Linked DNA regions of Drosophila melanogaster. The protein of the gene in region 2 interacts with the protein of the main gene of each other region in a pairwise test. Each region holds a gene or a part of one and is shown on either strand. Other genes may lie near its edges. The genes, in order: CG13962 and tpr.

The links.
Region 1: the proteins of tpr (region 2) and CG13962 interact in a two-hybrid assay, tested with the Drosophila melanogaster proteins (one large-scale study listed by BioGRID).

The regions. Positions count from the first base shown.
Region 1 is NT_033779.5:19,813,190-19,816,381, reverse strand, and holds CG13962 (uncharacterized protein), read left to right. Parts: upstream 1-1,849; 5' UTR 1,850-1,908; intron 1,909-1,968; 5' UTR 1,969-2,064; coding exon 2,065-2,523; 3' UTR 2,524-2,678; downstream 2,679-3,192.
Region 2 is NT_033778.4:21,798,604-21,802,861, forward strand, and holds tpr (tracheal-prostasin), read right to left. Parts: upstream 2,302-4,258; 5' UTR 2,229-2,301; coding exon 1,428-2,228; intron 1,363-1,427; coding exon 1,045-1,362; 3' UTR 727-1,044; downstream 1-726. Other genes in the region: CG18735 (uncharacterized protein), read right to left, coding at 1-563.

The DNA.
Region 1 (3,192 bases), on a different chromosome or scaffold from region 2:
ATCAGTATTGGCCAGAAGGAATTGGGAATTTTAAGTGTCAATTGGGTAGGATTAAAAACTCACCTCAAGACATCTGTCTTAGCTACCTAGATATCATATTTCGAAGGGTAGTTACATAAAATTTTATAGGTATTTATACCCCTTACACTTAGAATAACAGATTACAACAGATTCGATAAATATTATTTACCAGGTAGAGGAAGACCTTTCCGACCCTATAAATATAAATATATTCTTGATACAAAATAACTAGCCGTGTCTGGCCAAGTCCTTCCATCCGTTTGTCCGTATTAACGTGGTCGCCATGTTTATATTAGGCATGTTTATATTGGTAGCGACACTTTATTTCATTTAATAACAGAATAATACCCATTTACTTATCCTAATTACTGACATGTGTATATTTATACCTGAATGTTATCTCACCAGATTATCCAAGGACCTTTGCTATGTGAGTAAAAACCCTCCCTGAAATATGCAATAACTATATTCGATTCTGAAGTCTGCAAGTAAAGTAATTCCCAACTGATTTTAGCTGCAGTCGCATGAAGTCCTTTGTCCTGGGAAGGAGTAGTTATCGCTTCTCGGCCTTATGGCTAAGATCAAAGTGTAGTATCTGTTCTTATCAGCTTAACATCTGATAGTTCCTCCATTGGAGGACAACAAATGTTAAACTGATTTTTGGAATCAGACGGAGTGCTAGGGGCTTGCTCCACCTCTGTCACGGGTTGGCCCGGTATTGCAGTACCGCCGGGATTTCGGCCCAACTGAATAATAAATATTTAATTATAAACATTAGTGAAGAATGCTCTCTTTACAACCTTCTTTATTGGGAAAAGTCTTACACGCTTGACGTTTAAAACAATCTCGCCCTTTTACATGCAAATTCGAATGGTAGGATTGTAGTTTCCTGCTGACATTGCGAAAGTGTCCTTTGCCTTGCCTCTTCGCATCGATTCTATTCCTTTTGGGCGGAGGCAAGCTAGCTAGCTAGCTGGTTTTGTCTGTCGAAAATTGTTTAGCCTTCGTCTTCTTCGTCGCGTTGTCAAGTGATTTGGAAAATTGAATTGATCAATCGCTTTGTCAATTCTGTTACCTATTACTGATTGATTTTTAATTTTATAGTTGCCTGAATTGGTTAAAATGGAATCTGATAGTCTATGGACTGGACCCAATAGTTTTTTATACATTTAAATCATTAAAAGTATTTTCTTTTTCGCTAGCCACTACTTTTTGTTATCTTCCTGTCGAATCCCGGATTCTGCTATCCATGAACCGATCCATTTTTGACTACATCATAAACGAAGAAGTCTGCCAGCCCATGAGCCATCGTGAGGAAAAATAGTAATCAGAGGGAGCAATCTCTGGTCAATCGGCTAGTGGGTTTCCAAGTAAGATTTTACGAGCCAACTATCATAAGTCAAATACTTTGTCACGTCCATATCCATATTCCTTGCAATGATGGTCTCGTTTGGTATTCAAGCTAACAATAAACATAACCACCTTCTTATACACTCCATCAGCCACCTTTCTTCACGTTGACCGTGAATACACATCTGCGTTTATATTGAATGTATTCGAAAGTAATTGTCATTAATAATTAAATCATTTGTATCTTAATACAATGAGTAGCCAGACCCTTTTCTGCACTATTCCGTGGGAATATCTCTCCAGACTTTATAGCAAAAGTTCAATACAATATATTCAATATTCCTTTCTAGTTCCTAATCGCATTTACTTTATCTCGTGAGCCAGCTTAAAAACACAGTAATTCATAAAAGAAATCAACGACTCACTGATAACGACATGTGTATAAAAAGCCTATCTCTGCTCAAAATTATTTGAGTCGAATTAAATCACTTGCTGAAGATGCGTTGTATGCTTATAGTATTTGCCATAGCTGCTGTAGTAAGTAAAAAAATTGAAAAAGTCGGATCTCATTGTCTTAACCCAACGGATATTCCATAGAGCCTTTCGTGTGCTGCTCCTGCGAAATCGCAAAACGAGATGTTAGCTCATTTCTTTGACTATGCTGACACCCTCCGTGGCATTCAAATCCATAATATGATGTCACTCACCATCAAATTCGTGCAACAAGTTGTGGACACAGTTCCGCTTGAACAACGTGGACCGGGAACGGCTGCCCTCCAGGCCTATGCCAACAAGGGCAAGAGTCTCAAACAGCGAGGCACAACTGGCGAGAAATATAACTATATCTACGAACTGCAACAGGTATTCGAGGGACTCAACAGCGAGCTGAGTCAATCGGCACCTGAATCCCAGGTGATTGGAATGAGCCTGCTGGGTTTACTGGGCGTTAGCACTGAATTCGCCAATGAGAATGAGAAACTCCACAATAAGTTTGTCGAAGGTGCCACCCAAATGAAAGCCATGTTGTCTCCGACCACAATAGCTCGGGAAAGTGAGCTCCTCGAGGCGATCGACAAATACATCGCTTCCACTGATATACAGCAGCACGAAGCTCTCTTTATGAAAGTCATGAGCTTCAAGGATAGGTACTAAGCTTAAGTCAATAAAACGATTTACACAACATGGAATGAAAATTAGAAGTGGATTAATATGACATTATATTGTTATCACAATTTGTTGTCATGGTTGGCAACGAAAGAGAGATTATTTTTATTTAAAATATTATCTGCATAATTCATATAAGAGATAATTCGCATTATTCACTGATAAGAGATGTTTGGAATAATTTTAGATTTAATCCAACATTGAGTGTATTTTTAGTAGTAAATACTCATATTTTCATGGACTTTGAAGACTTGGAAATAAATGTTAATTCATGGCAAAATCAATGTTCATTTCTTATGGATCGAGATCCTACTTCCTAATGTATTAAATTATCGATAGAAATTTACAAGACTAAAAAAAATATCAAAACATTTTTCAAAAGTGTGGGCGTGATAGTTTTGTGCGGTTGTGCGGCGTGGCAACATGAATCTCTAGAATCTGTACTCTGAATCTCAACCTTTTAGCCTTTAGAGTTACAATATGGTTATAGGTACAATCTTACAAGCAGATCGACTCGGCTCTTGATCCTGATCAAGAATATATATTTATATTTATATGGTCGGAAACGCCTCCTTCTGTCTGTTACATACTTTTCAACGAATCTAGTATACTCTACGAGTAACAGGTATAATTAGGAACAACCAATTCAGCCAAACA
Region 2 (4,258 bases):
TGCATATCGATGCCAAGACGAACTGGTTCATTGAAACGAATCAAAGCAATGTCACTGTCAAAGTTCCTGGTGCTGTACTTCGGGTGGATGAGCACCCTGGAAACCCGGCGATCCACGATCTTGACGTGGCTATCCTGACGATTATGCTCCAGCAATCGGACCGTGATCAAACGATGGTAGAAGCCATTTACACAATGGGCAGCGGTTAAGGCATACTGATCGTTAACCAAAGAAGCGCCGCAATAGAAATTACCGAACCACATGAGCATTATCATCCAGGGATACTCATGGACCTCCGTCTCCTGACCTCCGACGATGCGATGACGAGTATTGATATTACCACAGGAGCACTCTGCGCACTCCCTTTTGGCCGGAGAGCTCCATTCGGCTGGCACCTCGGGTCCCAGGATCGATTGAATCCAGTCCAGAAAGCTACTCTGCCTTAGTTGAGCTAGATTGTTTAAGATCTTCTCAGGATCGGAGGCGGAACGCAGAGAGGGCGTGGCACAAGCCAAATCGCCCAGTGCTGTGGCAAGAATCAGCAGAAGATGAAAATTACACATGGTGTACTAACCTGGCCAACTGGCAATTGGCAACTAACCAAATGGATCCTGGCCACATCCAGCAAGAAGACTGATGAGAACCAGAAGTGCTAGCCAAGCCAAAGAACTGGCTAGACCAGAATCACCAAAGGAAACCGGCTCCCGAGAAAGGTTAGCGCACTTTATGGAAACTTTTCTTTTAATCAATAAATATAAAACAGCTTGAAAATGGGATCTTCGACGAAGCCGAAGTTGACTTACTCTTGCAAGGGTGGCAAAAAGTTTTGGAGCATATATCCCAAGAAATTGCATAGTTATTTTCGGCGAAAATAGTTCGTTTCTTGGCATATGAGATTAGTGATTTTGGAAATAACAAGCTTTTTGTAATGAAAACTTGTCTTTCACATTGGATGGAAGATACAAATTCTGATATAATATTAAACATTGCCAGCCAAGCAAGAGTATTGAACTATTAATAGATACAGAAATAGCCAGATGTTCGCTACTTGATCTTCTTGGTCTCCTGCTGGCAGAGGCAAGCCTGTTTGGTGAGGTTCTTGATCCAGGTTCCGTAGCGATTCACTCTGGCATAGACGCCAGGATAACCGGCCTTGGCACAGCCCTCGCCCCACGAGACAACGCCGGCGATCTGATGCTCTCGCGTTCCGCTGGCCACGATGTGCAAAGGACCTCCACTGTCGCCCTGGCACGAGTCCTTGCCACCCTCGTCGTATCCGCCACACAGCATGTTATCCGTGATCTTGTTGCCATAGCGACTCTTGCGACATTCGTCCTGCGATAGAATTGGCACTTGAACCTCCTGCAGAAAATAATATTCAGATATATTTATATTGCATTTTATACTCCAATCTTAAATTGGCTAACCTGAAGAGTATCGGAAGTGGGTCCACCAACTTTGAGCGCTCCCCAGCCAGTGACAATGCCATTCTCGCCCTTGAAACTTCTGCCCGGCGTTGGCATACAAACGGGATGGAGCACCTCGTTGAACTCCACCGGCTCATCCAACTTGATGATGGCTATATCGTTGTCATAGTTCCGGGCATTATACTTGGGATGCGTGATCACCTCGGCCACCTTGCGGTCGATCTTTTGCATGTGCGACATCTTGCGGTCATGTTCGAGTAATCTCACCGATATTCTTTCCTTTCGAAAGCCATAGACGCAATGCGATGCGGTCAACAGGAATTGATCGTTGAGCAAGGAGGCGGCGCAATAGAACCTTCCGCCATATAGCAACATAGCCACCCAGGGATACTGATGAACCTCCGTTTCCTGACCACCGACTATTCTCTTCTGTATATTGGCTATTCCGCAGACACAGTCGCTGCAATTCCTTGGCGGATTCAAAGTGGGTGGGGCCGGAGTGGTTGCCCTTCTCGTTGTAGTGGTGCTGGAAGACGGGGCTGGTGTGGTGGTTGATGTGGTAGATGCCGCGTCCGGCATCATAGAGCTGCTGCTCAAGGTGGCCAGAGTGGCATTTTCCGAATCCGAACTGCCGGGACGTTGGGGCAAAAGTGAGAGAACCCATTGGATAAATGTGTTCTGAGATTGTTTCAGCAGCGGACTCGCTGCCGTTTGGTTCGTTGCACGATCCTGGCTGGCTGATTGGCTTGGACCGCAGCTTAAGGCCAGGCAGATCAGCAGACACAACCAGGCTCGATTCATTTCTCTAGACTTTTTCCGGCTTTCTCCACAGCGACACCACCGATTCACTCGCGTGGCTCTCGGCGAACTGATCGCCCAGCCGCTTGGCCAGCATTTGAAAGCGGCATTTCACCCAAAAAAAAGTGGTTCTGGCCGGTGGCACGTCCACTTTGCCAATCCAATCCGCACAGAGAGAAACATAGGTATACTCTATAAATTTATTTTAGCCAATATTGAAGCGTTCTAGATATTATAAACGACTAAAGAATATAAAAGAGATTCTTATGAGAGCGATACCAATATCTAGCGTAATAATGTACAGTATTATTAAACATATATCAATGGTATTGGCTGTACACTTGTATGTACATTTTTCAGTTATTTTATAAAAAAATATATACTTTCCAAACTTGGTGAGAATTTCTCGCGGTGCATTCTCGCACTCCCCTTAAATTTGCATTTGTATTCTGCGCATGCGTGGGTGCCTCAGGGCATCCACACTATCCACCGCTTGACCATGATACTTCACTCGGTTGGCTGGCAAGTAAAACTCAACAGAATCGAAGCCACTCATCCACTAAAGTGGGCTTTTGTTGTAATTTGCGCCACTGAAGTAGCGAAAGTTTTTTTCTCGCTTCAAACTTATTGAAATGAATTTTTTTTTTTGCTTCTTTTCCGTCCAATCGATTGCTCGGCGACGCATCGTAATTTTACTTTCTTTTGATTTATATTATTGGGGCTACTTCTCGGCGATTTTGTGGGTCGGCTGGTACAGTGTTTGTGTGTCGACAGCTATAACAGCTGACAATAAAAAAAAAAAAAAAAACAGCAACAATGCCACTGACAACAATAAATTTGTGGCACTGTTTACATTTACATCGTTTACGTGGTTGGCTTTGCCAATTTGGCCGACTCATGGGGCTTGGGGCGTTTTAAAAACAGGCAGATATGTGGGTTAAGAACTGTGATCTTACGTAGAGGAATTCCAAATGGATTCAAGTCTTATTCAGTAGTTTAAATATATTGTTTTCTTTGTTAGATTTAAAAAATTACATTTTCCTTTAGCAAACCCTGTTGAGTTGAGTTCCAACATTAATTACCCTTTTAGCTTCCCAAGGAGAAGAGCAATCGTCATAAAAGCAAAAATAAACTCCCACAAGACATGAAACCGTCAGGCTGGACTTTCCTCCCAGCAGAGATTAACGATGCAGCCGACTTGTGGCATCCGCACGTGTCCACTCCAGTCGTGAGTCATATTGGTCATGGGCTTAAGTAGCCCCATTCCACTGGATCATTAAAAGCAACTTGTAGGGCTATGGAGGCGGCGCCGTTGCGCCTGCGCCACTTGGATGACCGGCCATTGATGGATGGATGGTCGAGGAGGGTCTGCCCTGAAAGGAGGGGCGGAATCGGAGGAGGTCTCCCCGAGGAGTCGCCGGTTGGAGCAGTCATTAGTATGCGCACACATAACACTTGGCATATTAATTGTCCGCGTAATGTTGGAGGCAGATGCAGTTCGAGTGGAGCTACATGGAGTTGCAGTTGCGAATGGATGGTTGGGGCATGGGCTTGTGGATGATGATGATGACGAACTAATGTCAGTTCAGCGGACACTGCGCACTAGAGATGCAAATCTCAACTTTTCGGAAATAAAATTAGTATCTCAGTTTGGGTACTTAAGAGTATATATCACAAAATGTTATAAAGGCAAATAATGGTAACATAATATAATGACGGCAACATAATAACGATATTCACCATTGTTTGGAAAATTCGCTATGGTATGCTGAACTTGATGAAATATGCCAATTTAGCGCGTGGTTTTAATTGAATTCCTGGTGATTTTTCACTTTTATTTTAATAGATCGTTAGCATCACTGGTGGGCAGCCATCAAAGGCATAGTCGGTTGCATTGCCCAACCGCAGTGCACGCAGTTAAAACAAAGTGCCATTTGCATAATGCCCCGGCTAGACAAAACCGAATGAAAAATACGGGGGGAAAAAAACGGCCGAACAAGTTGCATGTGTGAGCACATCTATATGTTAAATGG